Linked DNA regions of Lonchura striata. The protein of the gene in region 1 purifies or fractionates together with the protein of each later gene. This does not show direct contact. Links are inferred from orthologs where the notes say so. Each region holds a gene or a part of one and is shown in the gene's direction. Other genes may lie near its edges.

Region 1 (7,078 bases):
GAGCTCTGGAACTTTAAGGCTGGAAGAGATCTTTGGGATAAAGTTCATGCTGTGAAAAATCCCCACTTCAACAGACAGAGCGCTGGGGCCTGGGCATTGTCCTGACAAGGGTGGCTGGGCCTGGCGTGGTTCTTGTGGCCCAAATTGTATCCTGGGCATTGTCCTGGCAGGGGTGACCAAGCCTGGAGTGGTTCCTGTGGCCCAAAATGGGTCCTGGGCATTGCTCTGGCAGGAATGACCAACCCTGGCATGGTCCCTGCCACCCAAATTGTGTCCTGGGCATTGTCCTGGCAGGGGTGACCAAGCCTGGGGTGGTTCCTGTGGCCCAAAATGGGTCCTGGGCATTGCTCTGGCAGGAATGACCAACCCTGGCATGGTCCCTGCCACCCAAATTGTGTCCTGGGCATTGTCCTGGCAGGGGTGACCAAGCCTGGGGTGGTTCCTGTGGCCCAAAATGGGTCCTGGGCATCATCCTGGCAAAGGGTGACCAACCTTAGACTGGTCCCTAAAACCTGGGGGTGATCTAGCTTGAGTCCTGGGCATTGTCCTGGCAGGGGTGACCAATCTTAGGGGGGTCCCTGCCACCCAAACTGGGTCCTGGCCATTGTCCTGGCTGGGCTGGTCATTCCTTAAACTCCTCCAGGGTGGTGACTGCAGCACCTCCCAGTGCAGGCTCCAAAACCAGTCAGAATGAAAGACTGGCAATGTGGAAATTTGTTCATTTTAGAGGTTCCTGCGCCTCCAGCCCCGGGGAAGCTTTGCCTTTGTTCTCTCCCATATCCAGCTGGGGCATGAAGGATTTTCTGTGTTCTCCCGGCCACATTGCCAGAGTTTTTTTTGGGGGGACAGGGCCCTTGTGACCCCCCAGGCCCCCCAGGAGCTGAGAACTGCTGCTTTCATCACAGGCAGCCTCGTGGACTTCCTCAAGACCTCGGAAGGAGTCAAGCTCAGCATCAACAAACTCCTGGACATGGCAGCGCAGGTGAGGGGGGAGCAGAGAAACGGGGAGAGAGCTGGGAGACCTCCGGAGCTGTTAATTAACAACTGCAATTCATCCATAATTACAAATCCCAGATTGCCGAAGGCATGGCTTTCATCGAGGCCAAGAATTACATCCACAGGGACCTGAGGGCCGCCAACATCCTCGTCTCGGACACTTTGTGCTGCAAAATCGCCGATTTTGGGCTGGCCAGGCTCATCGAGGACAACGAGTACACAGCTCGGGAGGGTGAGCCCCGCCCAGCCCCGGGGGTCACCGGGCTTGGGGACACCGGGAGGGGGACCCGCGGCCAGCCTGGATCCCCGGGGAGCTGCAGGAGAGGGGTGCAAGGATGGATTTTGCCTTTTCCATCTCTCTCCCCCCGCGGCTGGAGTGCTTTGGGGGGGCTCCCGCAGGCTCGGGGGGCTCAGCCACCAGAGCCAGCCGGTGCCCAGGCAGCGACAGAGCTGTCACACGGAATTCAATCAGGTTCCAGCGCTTTATCCTCCCCTTCCCACCGCTTTCCAGGGGCCAAATTCCCCATTAAGTGGACGGCACCCGAGGCCATCAACTACGGGACGTTCACCATCAAGTCGGACGTGTGGTCCTTCGGCATCCTGCTCACCGAGATCGTCACCTACGGCCGGATCCCGTATCCAGGTGAGGATTTTGGGGCAGCTGCGGGGCCGGCACGCCCGCGGTGTGTTGTGTGTGTGTGTGTGTGTGTGTGCGTGTGCATGCAGCGCTGCACGCACGCTGCTGCCAGCCTGGCACCCTGCCCGGCCCGGCTGCACCGGGCACGGTGGCCAAAGCCACCTGGGGAGGGGATGGAGGGGATGGGAGGGGATGGGAGGTGCCCCCCATGCGGGGTTTGGGAGGGTGGGGAGAGGTACCTGCCACCCAAAATGGGTCTTGGGCATTCTTCTGGCAGAAATGACCAATCCTGGGGTGGTCCCTAAAACCTGGGGTGACCCAAACTGAGTCCTGGGCATTGTCCTGTCAAGGGTGACTGAGCTTGGGGTGGTCCTTGCCACCCAAATTGGGTCCTGGGCATTGTCCTGGCAGGAATGACCAACCCTGGGGTGGTCCCTGCCACCCAAACTGGGTCCTGGCCATCCTCCTTGCAGGGGTGACCAACCCTGGGGTGGTTCCAGTGACCCAAACTGGGTCCTGGCAGGGGTGACCAACCCTGGGGTGGTTCCAGTGACCCAAACTGGGTCCTGGCTGGGATGCCCAACCCCAGGGTGCCACCCACACCATGGGGATGACCCGAATCGGGTCCTGGCAGGGATGACCAACCCCGAGGTGATCCAGAACCTGGAGCGTGGCTACCGCATGCCGCAGCCGGACAACTGCCCGGCGGAGCTGTACGAGCTGATGAGGCAGTGCTGGAAGGAGAGCCCCGAGGAGCGCCCCACCTTCGACTTCATGAAGAGCGTGCTCGAGGACTTCTTCACCGCCACCGAGGGCCAGTACCAGCAGCAGCCCTGAGGGTGCTGCTGTGGGGTGCTGGGGGTGCCCCACAGACCCCACGGACCTCACCCAGGCTGGGGTGGGGAGCTCTGTGAGGATTTGAAGTGCTCCAAAGCTTGGGAGAGCAGATTTGAGTCCTCCAGGAGGAGCTGCAGACCCCCAAAGCTTGGGGCATGGCGCAGATGTCCTCAGGGTGCCCACCCTGCCATCCCTGCTCTTCCCAGAGGGAAAATCCAGGCTCCAGCCCCCCAGGGCTCTCCTGCCCCACTCTTGTGTCCCTTTCACCCCCTTTTGGCTTCATGAAGAGCGTGCTCGAGGACTTCTTCACCACCATGGAGGGCCAGAACCAGCAGCAGCCCTGAGGGTGCACCTGTGGGGTGCCCCACAGACCCCATGGACCTCTGAGGGGTCCAGGATGAGGGGGGAGCTCTGTGAGGATTTGAAGCATTCCAAACCTTGGGGGCTGCAGATTTGAGTCCTTAAGGAGGGGCTGCAGACCCCCAAAGCTTGGGGCATGGCACAGGTGCCCTCAGGGTGCCCACCCTGCCATACCTGCGCTTCCCAGAGGGAAAATCCAGGCTCCAGCCCCTCAGGGCTCACCTTCCCCATTCTGTGCCCCCTTCACCCACCTTCGACTTCATGAAGAGCATGCTTGAGGATTTCTTCACTGCCATGGAGGGCCAGTCCTTGAGGGCTCTGCTGTGGGGTGCCCCACAGCCTCCATGGATGTCTGAGGGGTCCAGGATGAGGGGAGAGCTCTGTGAGGATTTGAAGCATTCCAAAGATTGGGGACTGCAGATTTGACTCCTCCAGGAGGGGCTGCACAGCCAAAGCAGTCCCCCAAAATCTGGGGCATGGCACAGATGCTCTCAGGGTGCCCACCCTGCCATCCCTGCGCTTCCCAGTGGAAAATCCAGGCTCCAGCCCCTCAGGGCTCTCCTGCCCCGCTCTGTGCCCCCTTCACTCCCTTGGGATGGCAGGAACCCCCCCCAGCAGCGCTGGCCACCGCACCCCGCGGCTGCTGGAGCTCCCTCTGCCCTCACGGCGTGCGCAGGAGAATTTTACAGCGACTTTGGGGAAATAAAGGCATTTTCAGCAGCGGGGGCCAGGCTGCCACGGGGTGCGGCACGCGGGGCGATGCCCACAGCACACGGACCCCACCGGCACCAACCCACCCCAGGGAGCCCCTGCGACCCCCGGGACCCCCCCTCAGCCCTGGTAGCCACCCCTGGCCCTTCACTCGCCCAACCTGCCCTGGCTCCCCCCTCCCCTGGGATGGTTCAGCCCCACCTGCCCCCCCCACCCCACCAAGGGAATGGTTCCTCCCTGCCCACCTGGACCCTCGATGGTACAGCCACCACCACCCCCCCATCCCCCGCCGCAGTGGTACAGCCCAAGCACCCCCGGCGCTCAGCCTAACTTGCTAGGTGCCGCTGCGCCTTGCCATTGGCCAGCGGGCGGGAGGGGGAGGAACGGAGAGCTGCGATTGGCCGGCGCGGCGCGGGGGGCGGGCCCGCGGGCCCGGGGCGGGCGGGGTTGGGTGCGCGGCGCGGCGGCGGGTCGGGCGCTGTGAGGGGAGGCAGGAAAATGGCGCTGACGCAGGGCACGAAGCGCAAAGTCTGCTACTACTACGATGGTGAGGAGCTGCGGGCACCCCCTCGGGGCTGCCGGGCCGCGGGGGAGCCGTCCTGGGGCGGGGGGGAGGGGGGGATGAGGGGGCATCGCGGACGGAGGAGGCGGGGGTGAGGGGTGAGGGGTCATGAGGCGGTAATGGAGAGGGGGGTGAGGGTAATGGGGTCACTGAGGGAGGATGGGGGTGCTGGGGGTGGGATGAGAGGTTGGTAATGGGGGATCGTTGGGGTCATGGAGGTGAGGGGGTTGAGAGGTTTTGGGATGGGTGTTGGGGGTATTGATGGGCGGGGACGGTCGGGGAATGGGGATCAGGGGTTGTGTGGGGTTTTTAATGGGGTTGAGAGGCGTAGGGAGCGTGTGGGGGGCATGGCAGGGGTATGGGGAGAGCTGGAGAGGAGAATGGGAAGAGTGGAGGGAGATCGGGGGGTGGGATGGGGAAATTTGGGAGATTGGGGGAAGATCAGGGGGTTGGGATGGGGAGATTTGAAGATTTGGGGGAAGATCAGAGGGATGGGATGGGGAAATTTGGGGTTTTGGGGGAAGATCAGGGGTTTGGGATAGGGAAATGTGGGGATTTGGGGGAAGATCAGGGGGATGGGGAAATTTGGGGATCTGGGGATTTGAGGGAGTATCAGGGAAATGTGGGGATTTGGGGGAAGGAACAGCGGGATGGGGAAATTTGGGGATCTGGGGATTTGAGGGAATATGGGGGAAATGTGGAGATCTGGAGGAAGATCAGGGGGATGGGGATTTGAGGGCATATCAGGGAAATGGGGGTTGGGATGGGGAAATGTGGGGATTTGGGGATTTGAGAGAAAACCAGGGAAATGTGGGGATTTGGGGGAAGATCAGGTGTTTGGGATGGGATGGGGAAATGTGGAGATCTGAGGATTTGGGAGATGGGAAAGGCTGGGAAGGGTCTGGGCTTGGTGAGAGGGGCTGGAGGCCAGGAGAGAGTCTTTTTGGGTGCTGAGGTGCTGGAGGAGGATTTTGGGCTCTGAGGAGGATGAGGCACTCCTGGGACAGCGTTTTTTTGGGGTCAGCAGGGGCCAAAAAGCTTTTGGGAGCCAGGGTGGCTGTGTGCAGGCAGCTCCTGCCAGGAGCATCCTCCAGCTGTGCCTCTGGAGTGTGGATGGTGGCTCCTTTTGGGGCTGCCTCAGCATCCCTGTGCAGCAGGGAAGGAACAAATCCCAAATCCCAAATCCCTGGCTGTCCTGTGGGGCTGAGCAATCCCAGTGCTGCCCCTCTCCCTTCCCCTGCTCCTTTTTCGCTGCCTCTGTGCTCACCTTGTGCCACAGGCCTTGTGCAATTCTCTGCTCCCACACGGTTTTTGGCCTGAAATCAAATAAAAAACTTCTTCTTGCTACTTTTTCCCCCTCTCTAAGGAAGGAGGCTTTTCCAAATCCTATGCTCAGAGCTTTTTTTTCCCCCTCTAAAAATGTCGTTTTTTTCCCTTCAAATAGGAGGTTCTCAGCCCTGCTGGGTTATAATTTTTAAAGGCATTGAATTATATCTGAAATATGAAATAAGCAGTTGTTTTGTTTGAAATGCTGCTGCCCTGCAGGTCTTTGCTGCACAAGAATTTCACCAATTTGGGTTCCATACTTTGTGGTGAGCTTTTAGTGCCATTTTTTAAATTTTTTTTTTTCCTTTTTACTGTTCTTTTCTGAGCAGCTTTTCAACGTCCACAGCTGAGGGGTAAAAAGCTGCTTTTACTGAGAGGAAATAAATAATTTGTTGATTGGAGCCTTTTCTTTTCCACGCTGGGAGGCTGGAACCAGCCTAACCTGCTGTGGGAATTCCCTGAATTTCATGGGATGAAGGAATTGGGGTCCTTCCCTGCACTCCTGAGTGGCTGAGGAAAGATTTGGGTGGAATTTCTCCATTCAGAGCCTCCTGATGGAGGGATTTGTTTAACCCCAGCAGAGCCTGCTCAGTTCACACTCCTTAATCTGCTCTGACGTCCAGGAGCAGCTGAGCTCATCCAGGGATCCACAGGGCTTGGGATGTGCTCAGCACAGGGAACAGGAGCTCAGGGTTGGCCCAGGGCATTCCCTGGACAGCTGATGGGGATTTTTGTAAAAGCTTCTCCGAGTTCTGTGCTTCTATTTCCTATGTACAGCCTCAAACATCTCTTACAAGTTCCCCAAATCTTGATTTAGAGGTAGTAAAATCCGTCCCTAAAACACGGCAGGATGGTTACACCAGCACGGGTTGCCAAAATGTGAGAAAACAGAATTATTTTCAGTGAGAAAAAAAGTGATTTTACCTGAAAAAAAAATTCTATTTACTGAAAGAACATCTCCCCAGAGCTCCACAGACAGGTCAATTCCAGCAGCAGACTTGCCTGGATGTGGGATTTGCACTTTTGGCATCTCATTTTCCTACCTGGAAATAGATCCATGTCCACAGGAGGAAGAAAAACTGCTTCTGCTGAAGGTGGAGAGTGGTGATGAAATGTGAATTCTCCCCTCTGAGTCACCGGCCAGACCGGCTTGGATCCCCTGCTTCCCAAAAGGAGCAGGAGTTGTTCCAGCCCAGGAACAGCTTGGGCTGGTTTCCCAGGAAAATGAAGCTTGGGAGAGATTCCTGCTCCCTGCAGCCAAATCAGGCAGAAATCTGAAAGGGAAATTCCTGTGAAATTCAGGGAAATGAGTGCCCCTGGGAAAGGAGGTGGAATAAAAACCCCATTTATCAGTGAGGTGTGAGCTCAGTTTGGAGGAGAAAATCCACGTGGGGAGGTGACTTTGTTCCCCATGTCCCATAAAACAATTCCTGGCGGGTGGCTGGAAAGGCCTGGGAATCCTCTGGAGGATTTGAAGGGATCAAAAGGGGTGAAACCAAGTGTGGAGCTGTAAAAGCAGAGCTGGGTGGTGTTTGCAGAGTCCAGAGTTCCCTGGATCCCGTTTCCCGTGGGTAAACAGGAGGAAAGTGAGGCACAGGCCGGGTGTTCCTGGGCTGAGTCATTGTCTGAGCTGGGATTAACTCCAGGGC
Region 2 (7,490 bases), on another chromosome or scaffold:
GCATTGTGATTGTACAGCGAGAGGGAAAAAGGGTTGATTTTCTTTGGCTCAGATGGGGGCTGCCTTTATGGCTTTGCAGAATTCACCGCCGTGGCTTTTCCTCCTTGTGTGACTCTGGCAGTGGAGGTGATCTCAGCCCCAAGTTTTCATGTAGGGCCTGGTTCTCTTGATGAGGAAATTTGACTTAATTAGTTTCAGCTGCTGGAAACCCACTGGTGTGCTGGCTCCTATTGTGCTGTGGGAAGGTGTAAGGTAGCCTTAAAGACCCACTGCCACCTTATGGCAGTTGCTGAGAAGCAGCGTCTGTGGAGCCAATTCTGTACACACATCATGCTCGCTCTATTTCTCTGCTCCTCTTAACCAGGGATATTTGCATGGAGGCAGGAGCTTTGTTTTCACCGAGTTCATCTGCTCCTTCTGTTCCTTGCAGAAATTTGATAAAGTCAGCAGGATGGCTGGGAGAGCCGTCAACAGGCGCTGTTCCACAGGAGCTCATGATCTGGGGAGAGACACAAAGGCTTCGTGGAGCACTGATTCTCCTCCAGTGAAGAGCTTGCTTATTTTCATGTCAGTGCCTCAATCCTTAAAAAAAATAGGTGTGAGGTCAAAGAACAGGGCCACACTGAACACGTGAGGCGTGTTGGCAGGATCTCCAGCGCTTGTTGCAGCAGGAGGAGGATGGAATGTGCACAGCCATTTTCCCAGCCTGCTGCTGGCAGGGCGCTGCAGGATGGCTTTGCACTGACAAATGGGGCCACTGTCCCCAAATAAACCAATAAAACATTGGTCTGTGGAACAGTGAGTGTGCTGGAAGCAAGAGCCTGCTTGCTGTGCTGGGGGTAGAGAATGCTAGATTTAGGACCCTTCTCCAGCAAGGCTCTGTTTGTACTGTAGGAGCTCTTGATATGCCATAGCTGAATGAAGGGGAGAAATGGTGGATTTAGAACTCCAAAATAGAAAGAGCTGTGGTTACTGTAAGTTAAAGCTGAAGGAATTTATAATTGGGAACTGTTAGGAATACAGTATGTTCTAAATTACAGCTGTCTGGCCAATATGCTGCTAAATAAAGATCTAGGATTGCCCTGTAAATGAAATATTCAACGCATATTCTTATCAAAACATAGCACCATCTCCCAGAGAGCTCACATCTCAATTGCTGTCCAAGAGGATCTCTATTATGTTCCTTTTTTTTTTTCCTTTTTAGCGTGTATGATTTACTCAGTGCAGTATCCCAGGGAACATTTCTGGTTTCCTATTAAGTAAAAACAGTTTTCAACTCTACTGGGGAAAAGAGGAGAGGAAGGGAAATGGCTTGGAAGCTTTAGGGATATAAAACCAGGTTTTAAAAGATGGGGAAAGCTATGATTCCAAAAGATGCATTAATGACTGCCTGTTGACTGCCTGTTCTTTCAAAGCTGTTACCTGAGCCTGGAGGTGGACATTGGAGGGTGCTGAGGATACCCAGTATGTCCTGAGCTATTCTGATTAAGAAATGTTGTATATTATGGTTGAAGAGCAGAAGGAATGTTTGAATAGCTTGTGGTGAAGCTGGAGAATGGTTTATAGCAGTGCAGAAACAATCAGGATTCCAGCAGAAATGCTCATCTCATACCCAAAGTCCCTTCAGCTTTTGGGATTGTTTCTGAGGAGGCTGAAAGGGAGCATCAGATTTGATCAAGGGGAGAGTCTGCAAGAAGAGAAGCCTGATGGAAGAAAGGAAATAAGGAAAACCCTCTGTATTTTGCAGAGCTAAATATTGTTCTTCCTATAAAAAGAAAAACCTCCCTTTGCCTCCCACTTAGGCTTCCCTGCAACGGAGCTGTGAAAATGCTGGACTTACTGGTGTCATTAAGCAAGAGCCCTGAGGAACCTGGTGTCCTTTGTGAAGGGAGGTGTTTGTGCTGCTCCCTTCCTCCTGAAAATGTGGGATTTCTGATAGGGGTGTTTGAGCCTTCAGTCAGAGGAGGGAGGCTGGAGAGCTGTGGGGTGAAAATACCCTGTAATCTGTGGGCCCTGGCAGGAATGTTTGGAAAGGGGGGTGTCACTGTGCTGGGAAGGCTGCTGGAGGGCACTTGGGCTAAATAAAGGGCACAGCATCTCGGGGCACAGGCCTGTTCTCATCCTCCATCATCAGCAAAACCTTTTCCTCAGCCAGCCTGGAAAGAGGACTGTGACTGCTGGTGTGCAGCACCTGACCCCTGCCAAGGGGGGACAGGGGGGTCCCGGGCAAGAGACACCTCTCCCAGTGCCAATGGCTGTGCCCTGCAAGCTTCTTGCTGCTTTTGGATGACAGAAATGTGAGGTTTCACTGAGTGACACCCAGGCATCCCCCGTGGCAGAGATGCTGCTACGGCACCGATCGATCGCTTTACTCAAGTTGGTTGTTGAGGCATCTGCAGTACCCTGGTGAGCTCTGCTTTCTCCTTTTTGTTTCTAAACAGTGTTTAGTGCTTTCAAGGATGGCCATGAGATGTGAAAAGTGTCTCTGGTAGCATCTGCTCTCAGTGTATATTTAACCTCAGCAGTGAACACATGTCTGGTGTGGAGATGCAGTGGGGAGGCTGTGGCTGTGCCGCCGTTCTCGGGCGTTATTTTATCTGAGAAAGGGAATGTTGACTGTGGTGGATCATTGACACTGCCTTTGTTAATATCTTAGTTTCTATTTCTGGGCTTTTAATGAAAGCGTGGTAATTTCATGCTGCAAGGAAGGGCAGCAATCAACTGCATCAACTGTTTTAAAGCCATCTTTGGTTTGAAGTACAGTAATCTTTTGATGCGGTGGATAAGGCAACTCCTGTCTACATAGCTGGGGTTTGTTGCTTTTGTTTGAGGATTTTTGAATTTGTCTTTAAATGAGTTACCTCTGCACCTCTCAGTGACTGAGAGAAAGGCCAGGAAAACCTCATTTTGTGTATATTAAAACTTAAGACTCACGTTGGATGAAAACCTGGTGGGTGAAAGTGATCCTTTCTTTATCCTGTCACCTCAAATACTCCTTGCCTATGAATTTCAATCATCTCAATTTAGCCTTGTGTGTTTTAACTGTTTAGTAGTGAAACTTCTCCAGAGTGTGGAGAGGAAACAACATCCTCATAGCCAAGGGAGATCTGTAACAGCTCTTTGCTGCTTTAATTATTGCAGCTCTGCAAACGTGCCTGGCCACAGTGGTGAAAGAGCTGCTGGGACTGGAGGAAACGTGGCTTGTGGATGTTTCCAGCCTGGCAGAGCCGGCCATGGCTGTTGTGCTGTGCTGAGGCCTGGACTCGCCTGGTGCTGGGGCAGGACAAACTTCATCCCCAGGCTCTCCCAAACCTCCCTAGGGATTTGGATGGCTTGTTCCTCCCTGCAGTGGAGTCTGCTCCCTGCCCTCCCAGCTCACTGTCACACATTGCACTCCACTCATCCTCACTGTAGTTTCTACTCTTAAAGAGAACTCTCTCTTTAGGAGGACGCTCTCCAGTGCTCTCCTCTTTTGGAAAGCTGTTTTTCCTTTGGCCAAGAGCACGCGGGTGGTGCCACGGGGCCATGTCAGAGTTTCCTCTTCTTTCTGGCCTCTTCCTCGAGGTTGCTGGCTGCCCTCCCCCTGCTCGGGGGGAGGTTCTCCAGCCTGACACCCGGCTCCAGCAGCCTCCTGCTCCTGCCTCCAATAAATGCCAGTCTTCCTTGAATCCCTTCCAGCCGAGCTCTGCTTACAGATGTTCCTGCGAGCTGCTCTGGCAGTTTTACTGGGAGCCTGAGCAGATATGAAGGTTGCCAAGAGTTTATGCTTAATTGTGAAGTGGAACAGAGACAAACTACTTTTATTTTGAAGCTAAAATTTCTTCTGTTATCTTGCTGGCTGGGGCCAGCAGTATTGTAGGGTTTGACATAGACTGAGCTTAGAGCTCCTGTGCCTTGTAGTGAACTATCCCTTCATTAGGGTGGGGATGAGGATGGATCCATGAGGATGTCCCTTCATTCTGTTCCCCCCCTGCTTTTCCATGACTGTGTTTGTGATACCCTTTCAAAGTCAGTTGTACCAGGTCAGGTTATTAATCCCCAAAGTGAAAATGATCTCCCCTTCAGATCAGCAGTTCAGATCTCGAAGAGACGCTGTCTTGGGCACTGCTCCCTGCATCAGTTTAACCCATGTGCCTTCATCCCAGCTCTCAGAGGTTGGGCACTTCGTTAAGCACTACAAAATCAGCCCAGGGACATCCCCAAGCCACTCACATCCCTCCCTGTCCTTCCTGCCTCTCCTTTTCCCACGGGCAAGTGCTACTCTTGAAGGCCACGAGACAGCACTCTGGTTTAAAAAGCTTTCTCTTTTTTTCAGGCGAGTGATCAGTTTTGAGGCCTGGCGCCCTGTCAGAAAGTTGACAGATGATCTGCATTACCGGTGCGTCCCGGGGATGCCCGGGATAATCGCGCTCCAATGGACGCCCTGGAGCCGGCAGGTTCTCTGTGAAATGGCTGCAGTGGAGGGAGCAGTGAAATGGGCTCTTCTGGGCATGCTCACTCTGTAGAGGGAGCTTTATCACATGAGCAGAAACTGAATCACTGCTCATGAGGATCTGGAATATGCAACTCTTGGAGTCTTCACCAGAAGAAGACAACAGCTGCCCGCAGGTACCGCAGGGTCCGTCCACCTCCCGTGCCTGGCGAGGCCCTGGCAGGGCAGGGCTGCGTCCTGCCCGGGAAGGAGAAGCCTTGGAGAGGAGAGGAGGAGCAGAGGCCGGGGAAGCATGGCCGGGGCTGTTTGTTCATTTGTTTGGATATTCCTGCGCGCGGCTGCCCGGTGCGGGGTGGGCATGGCCCATCCTGCTGGCATGGCCCATCTGCAGGCATGGCCCATCCTGCAGGCATGGCCCATCCTGCAGGCATGGCCCATCCTGCTGGGATGGCCCATCCTGCTGGCATGGCCCATCCTGCTGGGATGGCTCTTCCATGGGCTCCGAGGGGCCTCGGCGCCCGGCAGCGCCGCCGGCAAACCTCGGGCTTTGTTTCCTCGTGCCTTTCGTTTGTCTCCTGGGGTGGGGAAGCTCGCTTGGGGTTGGTTTGGTTTTGGGTTTTTGGTTCTTTTTTTTTTTTTTTTGGTGTTTTTAGGATTTGTTTGTGCTTTTAAAGTGTGAAGTTTCTGGAAAATTCTCCAAGGAGCTGCTTGTAGCTGTTAGAAGAAAAAGGCACAAAGCCTGGGGTGCCCGAGCTGCTTGAAGACTGAATGTCTAAAGGGGAGGAGAGGGCCTGTGGCCACATGGCACCTCCTCACTGGGTCTCTTTTGACAGCCTCTGCCTATGGCTTGCTGGGGTGGAGGCCAGAGCCAACAGCATTTTACCAGGAAGAAGCAATCCTTTTTATTTTGGGGTCACTTCCTCCCTTCTCTCTTCTTTTTTTTTAATTTTTTTTTCATAATAGCAATCCAAGGAAACATCTGATGCAAAGGAAACATCCGTGGTTGACTTCATGGCAGGAACATGCCTGCAACATATTTTAAAACTCAGCCCCCCGGTTCTGCCCTTGGGATTTTTTTTTTCCTCTGTGATTTGTGTTACATGCAAGAACTGTTGGCTGCCACAGACCTTGGTGAGATTTGGGATGGACACAGAAGGTCCCAGGCCCCTGGAAGGCACGGACAGCCCTGCAGAACACTGGCCTGAGCTTGCTGTGCTCCAGGGAGACCCTCGAATCTGCAATGTTGACACAATATTGAACTTTCAATCAAGGAGCAAGATGTGAAGATGGCATTTAAAATATCAGGGAGCTTACATGGGACAATCTGTGATACCTAATCTAAATATCTGTTGTTTCTCCACTGGATGATAAATGTGCTCATTGTTCATCATTCAGAAGAAAAGGAAAAGGCATCAGAAGTCAGGAGGAGAGAGCTGAGATTTCTCTTTAACAGTGAAGAGCTGAGGCCTTGACCTGCTGCCTGAGCAGCTTCACTCAGGGAGAAAATGAGCTTTGGGCTTGATGAAGGCTGAGGAGACAACCAAAAACCCTCTGAGGTGTGGGAGGTGTGCTCCTGTGTGGTGGTGACACCAGCGTGGCTTTGGCTGGAAGTGCCCAACGCTCTGTCCCTGCCGGCTGGGGCCCTTGGGAAGCGTCTGCAGAGACGCAGAAAAGCCTGACCTACTTTGGAGGGAAGAGAGCCGCCGAGGTCTGGGCTTGGCACTGCTTCTCAGCAAGGGTTAAGAGCCCAAAGTGGGGCCTTTGGGTCTTGGTTTTGTTCTGTTTCATGTATTTAACTGCCTGTGCGGTGCCAGCACGAGCTCTTGCCCTCGTCCCAGGACATGTTTGGGTAGGACTAGGCTCTGTGGCACATATGAGGCATATTCCTGCAGCTCAGCCTCTGTGAGACCAGCCCTGGGCAGGGGGCAGAGGCAGCTCCATGACCTGGCTCCTGGGAGCTCTCCCATGTGATGCCATCTCCTGAGGAAAGAGAGTTGTGTGCACCTCATGCAATGGCAGTGAGTTGTTTTATTCAGGTAAACAAGGAGTTTTAAGGAGCTTTGCTCTCCTGGCCAGCTGGTTTGGGGGAGGGCTGACTTGGTTCCTGCTGCTCCTCTTTGTTTTCCTTTTGCTGCTTTTCCCTGAAGTTTTTCCTTCTCGCCTTCCTGCTCCTGAAGCTGAGAGTGGTCGAGGAATGGCCGCAGCGGGAGAGTGACCGTGTGTTGGGGTCAGCCCAAAAGCTCAGGGCACTGATGGCGTGTGCTCCCTGCTTGCAAGCCTTGGAGGACCATATGTTCCTGCAGTGACATGGAATGTCAGTGATTTGGAAACAAATCCCTGAATTAATAATCCTCAACTCCCATTTTCAGCCAGTTATTTTTTCTGACTCCTCCAAACACCAGCTCCCTCTTTGCAGACCCTTATGGCCTCTCATGTTTCCAGTGGGATTTGTCCCTCTTGTGCCCCTGTGAGCTCCTTGGTCTCTTGGGTGGAGGATATGTGTCTGGCTTTGCTGTAGGGTGGTGTTGGTCCTGGAGGGGGGCAGAGGAGGAGGGCAGCCTGCCAGGATTTACAGTAGTCAGGAAAGCAGCAGGAGCGAAGCTCTCAAACTGTACAAGCTAATTGGAAAGCATCCATTAGAAAAAAGAAAAGGGAAATATAAAAGGGGAGAAAATGTTGAGCAAGCTTTTAAAAAACATCCTGGACTCCAACACAACAACTTGCATCCTCCAAAACAGGTGATTTAAATATGTTTTTCCTTCAGTCCCCATCAGGAGGGGGAAGGAGGTGAGAAGGGCCGAGGCAGTGGGGGTTAAGAAGGTCTGACGTGCAAGTGTCCTCCCTGCAACACTGCCATACTGTGCCTGAGCAGCACAGTGGCTCTTGCAAAGGAAGCTTTTCACAACTTGTCCTTGTTCCAAGGATGAGGAAACCTCCAGCTCTTCTGGCATTTTCTCTCTGTCATAAGTCAGAGCTGCTTTCACCTGTGAAGTATGATCAGCACAGACAGGGAGAGGGCTGGAATGGAGCGGGGCTCTGAGCAACCTTAAAAGGCTTT
Region 3 (7,963 bases), on another chromosome or scaffold:
CGCCCAAGGGCACTGCAGGGGTCCGGCTGCTGCTCCCGGATTTTTACTGCTCCCGGATTTTTACTGCTCTGCAAACTGTTATTATTTGCAGTGACAAACCTTTTCTTCTCTTTTTCACCCCCCCTCTCCCTTCTCCTCTCCACCCTTTTTTAATAGCAGCCTCTAACAGCCACACTCATTCTTCTTTGTTGACACGGCCCTTTGGCATCAGCACTTGGCATTTGCAGAGCTGCTCGCCCTGGAAAGGAAAAGAAAAAAAAAAAAATCTCTTAAAAAAAATAAAAAAGCCCTTATGAAGAAACCCCACAGCCAGCAACTGGGCCCTTGTGCCTCGCAGGGGACGTGGCTCCCTCCCTCCTGCCCATGGGGAGATGGGGGGAACCAGGGCTGGTCCCAGAGGGGGTGAGCAGGAGGAGCGGCACGAGATCAACGCTGCGAGTGCCCATGGAGGGGTTTGGGGCATGGACTGAGGGTGCTGGATCGTCCTCTTAAATTCATGGGCTCTCAGGGTGCTCCTGGGGATCCCGGTTGGACTCAGCCCCTGTGACCACCCTGCCAGCACCGAGTGTGTCCCCGCATGGCTTTGTCCTTCAGCTGTCAGGGAGCAGCAGTGTGTTTGCCACAGCCTGTCCGGGAGAGCAGAGAGGCTCAGAGTGTCCCCACAGGGCTGTGGTGGCAGTCGGTAGTCCCCTCCTCTCCTCAGAGTCACCTTTCTCCTTCCTGCCTGCTGGGGACCATGCCAGCAGCATCCTTCCCTCCTTGCCTGCCTCCTCTCTCAGCGTGGGATGGCCCTGTCCCCTTCCCCTGCACCCTGTCACAGCTCCCTGTCACCTGTGCACAGCTTTCCTTGGGTCATTATTTTTTGATTCCAGGCTCTCTGCTGTGCAGAGGCAGATGTTCCTGCTCTCACCAGCTGGGATCTTGGCCAGGAGCATCCTTGACTCACCTGCACAGCCTTGCAAAGGACTGGGGGAAAACAGTTTGCAAGCAGGAGAAAACCTGCCTGGGCTTTTCCAGCGAAAGGAACAGCGGAAAAATCAATGAAGTCAGTCCAGAAGTTCAAAGAAAGGTTGAAGCAGCAGATAAGGGATATATCCCCACTATTTCCATGAACCAGCCCTATCTCTCCCATCTGAAAAATCAGCACCAACTGAGTGCAGAGATCAGCCTTTTAAAAAAAAAAAAAAAAAAAAAGGAAATAAAAGCTTGCCGAGGAAAATACAGCTGTTGAGTGCAGAGTTCAAGGTCACTGAACTCCAGACCAGTGTCCCAGTGTCCCGTGGCAGCCACTCTGCCACCTTCACCCCGGGCAGGTGACACTGTGGAGCTCAGACTGGCCGCCCCCTGACTCAGTTTCCCCAGGTGGCACAGCAGGGATCGTCACCCATGCGGGTGCGTGGTGGGATTGAGATGTCCCTGCTGGATTTTGAGCAGAGATGATGCCAGGGCTGGGCTGCCCTTCCCAGTGCCCTTCCCTGCCTGGCTTTGCTCTCGGGCAGGACGCCAGGAGCCCACGGGTGGAGGTGGGAGCCTGGACAGGCGCCGTGGAGGCAGCGGCTGTTCTTCCTCCCCGGCCACGCAGGGCTGGGAATTGCCTCCTTGGAGAAATATTCCCTTTTCAAACACCAGACCCTGCCGAGGATTATCCAGAGGGGGTGGCTGGGGCAGCAGTCACGCTGTCTCAAAGGCACTGTGTTGTTTGAAATGCTCTTTAAGGCACTTGATGACTCACAGCAACAGCTGGAAGGAATAAGCAGTTGGTAATTTCCATATTAACCTCCCGGTCCCTGGGATGTGGGATCTGCAGCACGTGCCTGCTCCTCGGGGTGCCAGGGAATGGGTGCTGCCCTGCAGGGCCCCAAGGGCAAAAGGGACTGGGATAGGAACTGGGGTAGGAATAGGGACAGAGAGGGGGGTTGGGATGGGAATGGGGATGGGGAGGGAGATAGGGATAGAAATGGGGATGAGGATGCAGATGAGGATGGGAACGAGGGTGAGGATGAGATGGGACAGAAGTGGAAAAAGAAAGGGGTATGAGGATAAGGATGGCAATAGGGACAGGCAGAGGAATGGAAAGAGGAATTGGGGATGGCGATGAGAATAAAGGTAAGTTTAGGGCTGGCCGTGGGGATGGATGGAGGAATTGAGGCAGGAATGGGGATGGAAATGAGGATGGGGACGGGAACGGGAATGGGGACAAGGATGGGGATAGGGATGGACCCAGCACCCTGTGGGCTGCTCATGCATCCATCCTGAATCCCTGCCCCATCCAAGCCAGGGAAGCCCCCTGCCCCACGACCACAGCTGTTTGCCCAGCACCTGGCACGACTGGTGCTGAGTCCTGACCCAAGACAGAGCCTGTCCCCTACCTCGCAAGGGACATCTGTCCCCGGGGCTCCTCTCTGAGCACGGGGCCAGCTCTGCAGCGCAGCCAGCAAGGTCCAGCGGGATATTGGCCACCCTGCCCTGCCTCCCAGTGTGCTCCCAGCGCTGGGCTGGAGGAGCAGACCTGGCTGTCACCACCCCGGGCCCAGGGGTGGCTGTGGGACGCCAGCTCTGGCAGGAGGGCAGCGCGCCGGCGGGAGCCGCGGTGGAAAATCCTGCGCTAGGCTCGCCTTGATCCCCGCGCGCCCCGGGGGACGCGTTTGCCGCCAGGGCATATGTTTTCAGTTCTTGCCGAGGCCGACTTGAGAAATTTTCTCTCCCTCCCAGCTTCTCTGTTGCAAACAGCAACCGCAGGGCCAGGGCGGCACAGGATGATAAATGAGCTGCTCTGTCCGGGCGCAGCCAAGGCCCGGGAAGCTGCTCCGAGGCCGTGTCCCCGTGGGGCGCGGGGAGAACGGGGGAGCCGGGGGCTCGCGGAGAGGGGCACAGAGGGTCGGTGTTTCAGGGCAGGGTGGGGAGGGGAGGTTTGGCCCTGCCGAGCTCTGGACTTTGGATGTGGCGTGTTGTTTTCTCGCCCATCTGCGGAGCAGGCGGGAGAGCATCTGTCGGCTGCGCTCGAAGGGTGGGCTGAGCTGGTGGCCGCAGCGCCCGGCGGAGCTCCAGCTGGGCAACCGGGGTGAGGCATTCCCAGATCCGGTGCTGCTGCCTGGGGTCAGGGATCCCATCCGGCCCAGTGGCCCCTTTCCATCCGGGAAGAGGGGCGACACCGAGAGACCGAGTGCATCTTTAAAGAGCGTCTGAGTCATGTCCACCCCGACACGCGGCGTTCCCGCTGCCCTCGGTGCATAGAGCAGCCACCACATCAGCCCTATAAATAAATAAAATATAACGAGGCCCTGCTGTCTTCTGGAAACCCCTGAAAAAGCCCCGTGGAGCCAGTTCTCCCAAGGTATCGTATTCCCGCTTTGTGTGTTGCCTCCCACCCCCTGTTTCTTTACTACCGGAGCCATCTGCGTGGAAACTGGATCCGGGTCCCTGAAGAGCCCTCCTGCCCCTGCCCGCGCTCCAGCTGATGTCACACAATCTGTTTGATCTCGGGGCCAGTTGCTGGGGAGCACTGGACGCTGTCACCAGCAATCCGGGTGGGAGGTGACACGAAGGGTTGGTCAGCCCAAGGGGGACCCAGACGGGGTGCCCCGAGGAGTGATGAGGAGCAAGGGACACTGTGGCTTCTGTGCATCATCGGGGTGTGCTGGCACGTGGCTCAGGCATTCATCCTGCTGTCCCTCTGTCCCTGTGTCCTATCCAACCACTGACCTTGCCTCTTTGGGTTTCACTCTGCACCCTCCAAGCTCAGGGAGACTTGCAAGGACAGCACCTGGGTTATTGCAGTGACTTGCCATGAACTCAAACTCCACAGCACTGCCGGCAGCAGGCTTCCTCCTAAACAGACTGCTTGAAAAAAATCCCCCTTCCAGTTCCTAATATATTTATTTAATGGGGAGAGCCGTGCCGAGCCGGTGGGCACGCTGACGAGCCGCTGGGGTGGTTAATCAGTCAGGTTTAATTGAGGCTGGCCCTGGGCACAGTTTGCGCTTCCGCGGTGCCTATTGTCCAAGGACAGCAAAGTGCTTTCCAAGCATTAAATCTTATCGCGGGCTGCGAGGCAGGTAAGGATATACCGGGATTATTGCATGCGCCGCTGAAACGCCGCCAGCTCCGGCTGGGAACGCATCAGCTATTTACCAGCGAGTGGCAAAGCGACGCAGCATTTTAGGATCGAGCGGGAAATAGAATCTGGTATCGAACTGGAACAGCGGCAGTAGTTTGAAAGTGGAAAATAAATTACCGGGGGTGCTCGGGACACCGAGTTAATGGCTGGAAAGGGCAGGAAAGGCTCGGTGCTTGGGTGGGATAAGTCCCGGCGGCGTGAAGCAGGACACGGTGCCTGTGGGGAGTGGGAGCCGCACAAAGCGCCGTGCTGTGGTTAGGGGGTGGCGGGTGGGACACTGGGCACGGCGCGGGCGGGCCGGTGCGGGGATCCCCGCGTGGGGCCGGCCATAAACCCCCTCGGGGGTGGCTTTGTGAGTCCCCACGGCCCTCCCCCGTGGGGTCGCTCCGCGCCGGGCTGGCGGCGGGCGGGCGGGTGGCAGCGGCTCGTTCCTCCCTCCGGGCCCCCCCGGGCGGGCCGGTCGCGGAGGGGGGGCCGGGGAGGAGCCGGGCCGGGGGCGCCGGGGCCGGGAGGCGGCCGGCAGCCGCCCTTCCTCCGCGCCGCCGGCGGGACCCAAACTTTCGCACCGAACTTTTATCCCGGGTTTATTTTTGTTGCCGTTCGTGGATATTTTGTTGCCGTGGGGAGCTGTTTTAATTTTTTTTTGTTGTTGTTGTTGTTGCCGTTGTTTTATCATAATTTTTTTTTTTTTCCTCTTTCCTTTCTCGCTGCCTTCCCCCGGCGGGAGGAGGCGGGCGGAGGGGTGGGGGGGAGCGCTCCGCAAACCCGCCCCCCGAGCCTGCGTGTCCGGCGGAGCCGCGGGATGAGCCGGGGGCGGCGATGAGCGCGGCGGGGCCGGGGGCGGCGGCGGGGCCGGGGGCAGCGGCGGCGCCGCTCTCCCGCAAGCAGCGGCTGATGGCCGCGCTGGCGGCCGGCGAGGCGGCGGCGGCGGCGGGTGGGGGCGGCCCCGGGGCCGCGCAACCCCCGGCGCCCCCGCTCTGCTGCTTCATCTGCGGCGGCGGCATCAGCCGCGGCAAAGAGCTGAAGCTTCAAGTGCGACCCCCCCGCGACCACCGGCCCTTCTTCCCCTTCCTGCAGCACCAGGAGCCGGCGCCCGGAGCCCGCGCCGTCTCGGCGGAGGGCTGCGCCCTGGTCTGCGCTGTCTGCCGCTGCTTCCTGGGCGAGCAGTGGGACTCCTTCGAGCGCAGCCGCACGCCGGTGGAGAAGCGCATGTACTGGCTCAAGCGGCCCCATCAGTGCGAGGCGGCGGCGGCGGCGGCGGCGGCGGCGGCGGGGGGAGCCGGGCTGCGGCGGGGGGCCACGGGCTGGGACCCCGCCGCGCCGCCGCGCCGCGCCACCGGCCACCCGGAGGAGGAGGAGGAGGAGGAGGAGGAAGAGGAGGAGGAGGAAGGGCCGGCAGCCGGCTCCGAGCTCTCCGAGCTCTCCGACGCCGAGCCCCTCTCGGAGCCCGAGGGGGCGGGCGGCGCGGCGCGGGCCCCCCCGGCGGCGGGGAGCGAGCGGGGACCCCCCTGCTGCTCGTCGGACAGCGAGATCAACATCACCAGCGAGGAGGAGGAGGAGGAGGAGGAGGAGGAAGGCAGCGAGCGGCCCGCTTGGGCAGCGGGCACCGCCTGCTACATCTGCGGCAGCCCCTTGGCGCCCGGCGCCCAGCACCGCGTCCACGTGCAGAAGCAGGAGAAGAGCTCGCCGGGACCTTTCTTCCCGTTCCTGTGGCTGCACAGCCCCCCGCCGGGCGCCCAGCCGCTGTCCCCCACCGGCAGCACCCTGGTGTGCCCCTGCTGCTTCGCCTCCCTCATGCAGCAGTGGCAAAGCTTCGAGCTGGCCAACGTGCCCGTGCTGCAGCGGCTCTACGTGGTGCCCCTCAGCGCCGGGGCCATGCCCCCCAAGGGCCGCCGAGGGATGAAGGAGGACGGCACGGGCATCCCGCCGGTGCCCGAGGCTTGCTACCTGTGCGGGGAGGAGTGCGGCAAGGAGGCGAGGCCGGTGGCGGCCAAAATCACCAACGGCAACGCGAAGAGCACCATGCATTTCCCCTTCCTCAGCCTGCTGCCCTGCCCGCCCGGCGCCAAGGGGTTGAACAAGCACTGGGAGGTCAGCAGCTGCCGCAAGTGCTTCGGGGTGCTGCAGGACCTGTGGGCCATGTACAGGGCCTGTCACAACGAGGAGCTCATCTCCTCCGTGCAGAGTTTCCTGGGGAGGTACCACCAGGTCTTCTCCGCTGGTGACCTCTCCGGCCACCCCGCTGTCATCAAGTCCGGCCCCACCTCTGTCTGCTACATCTGCGGGGCCGAGTTGGGAGCTGGCAAAGAATTCCAGCTCAACGTCAACCCTCCAGGGCGATTTGGGGAGAAGGAGCCCTTTTTCCCCTTCTTGACGGTCTACCCGCCCGCCCCGCGGGCCAGACCGGCCGACTCCACCGGGCTGGTGGCCACCTGCATCCTGTGCTACCACGACCTGCTGGGACAGTGGCTGCAGCACGAGGGCAGGAACTCCCACCACCCCAGCAGCGCCTGGTCCCGGCAGTACAAGGTGGAGACCTTCGTCTGCTTCTTCTGCCGGCAGGAGAAGAAGCGATGCCTTGGATTAAAAGCGGTTCAAGTGGCCAGGCTCCCCGTCTTCCTCTACACCCTGCGCGTGGCCAACAGCCTGCTGGTGGACGATGGCAAGCAGCTGACCATCGGCGCCTGTGCCGAGTGCGGGGCCGTGGTCCTGGCTGGCAAGAGCATGACCCCGCCAGAGCTGCTGGCAGTGGCACCCCCGACTCTCCTCCCCAAGGTAAGGCAGCTGGTCCAGACCCCATCCCTCCTTTCCCAGCACTTCCCACCTCTGGAATCCAGGAGGAGTTGGAGCAGTGACATAGATGGATGCTCTTCTTTTGGGTCTGGGTCCTGGGGGTGAATGCTAATGGATGGGGTGCCTTTAGCAGTGAACTTTTGGAGCTGTCAAGCTGCGAAGGGAGAGATAAAAATCCTTCCAAGAGGTGGGAAGAGCCAAAACGTCTCCTGTTCCAGAATTGTCTGTGCTGTTGGCAGCTTCGCATGAGGGAGGTGGGAGCCAGGACAGAGGAAATCCCGACCCTGTCCCTCTTGCCATCGAGGGTGCTCAGAGGTGCCAGGGGGTTAGGATGACTGCCTGGCCTGCCCTCCACGGGAGCATCCTTGGGAAGGAGCTCATGGGCTCTGTAGGAAACTTCCCAACTTATCCCCAGTTTTACAAGGTGCCTTAATGAAAGGATTTCCCTTGGAAAAGCCCTGGCTCTCCCCACAGCTGATGGTTGGGCTCCCCCCACCCGTGCTGCTCTGGTTGTCCTGCACTGAGGGCTCCCCAAAAGCCCTGCAAGCCTGAAGGGTTGGCCCAGGTGCTGCCAGATTCCCCAGCTGCTCCTTTCTGTGGCTCCCCCTGGGGTTACACAGGTTGCTTGGAGGGCACCACCTCAAAAGCACATGGCAGAGCAGAAGTTTATCCCTCCCAGGCTTGTCTTTCTCGTGGGATAGGAAAAGAACAGCTTTTACTCCCAGATTTCCAGCTTGTGGGAGCTCTCCAGAGCTGCTGCTCTGCATCACCGAACCAGGCCCCAGGCTGGGCTCTGTCAAATGCCAACATCCCAAATCCCCGAGGTCATTTTCAAAGCCTTTCAGCTCCATCCATAGCCAGAACCCTGCAGCTCTCTGAGGCACTGGCATTTTCTTTAGAAATGTAAACCAGTCCTTCCAAGACAGCGCTCCTTTTCTCTCCCACTGCTCTCCCTTGGCTGCTTACAAATATAATTTCTCATTCAGCTGTGCTGGCTCCTGAACTAGGGGGGACACTGCTTGGAAAGCCACCAGGCAGGAGCTGCATTCACCT

The links.
Region 2: the proteins of HDAC1 (region 1) and EHMT1 purify together in Homo sapiens (affinity purification with mass spectrometry; 4 studies listed by BioGRID and IntAct, counting the BioPlex papers as one, with this or other methods). This does not show direct contact. The link is inferred for Lonchura striata from reciprocal best matches to the Homo sapiens genes HDAC1 and EHMT1.
Region 3: the proteins of HDAC1 (region 1) and GSE1 purify together in Homo sapiens (co-immunoprecipitation; 7 studies listed by BioGRID and IntAct, counting the BioPlex papers as one, with this or other methods). This does not show direct contact. The link is inferred for Lonchura striata from reciprocal best matches to the Homo sapiens genes HDAC1 and GSE1.

What each region holds. Positions count from the first base shown.
Region 1 is NC_134628.1:1,055,757-1,062,834, forward strand, and holds the start of HDAC1 (histone deacetylase 1), read left to right. Parts: upstream 1-3,981; 5' UTR 3,982-4,039; coding exon 4,040-4,088; intron 4,089-7,078. UniProt on the Homo sapiens protein: Histone deacetylase that catalyzes the deacetylation of lysine residues on the N-terminal part of the core histones (H2A, H2B, H3 and H4).
Region 2 is NC_134624.1:4,059,710-4,067,199, reverse strand, and holds the start of EHMT1 (histone-lysine N-methyltransferase EHMT1), read left to right. Parts: upstream 1-4,463; 5' UTR 4,464-4,545; coding exon 4,546-4,608; intron 4,609-7,174; exon of another isoform or gene 7,175-7,490. UniProt on the Homo sapiens protein: Histone methyltransferase that specifically mono- and dimethylates 'Lys-9' of histone H3 (H3K9me1 and H3K9me2, respectively) in euchromatin.
Region 3 is NC_134615.1:21,631,681-21,639,643, reverse strand, and holds the start of GSE1 (genetic suppressor element 1), read left to right. Parts: upstream 1-4,936; coding exon 4,937-6,892; intron 6,893-7,963.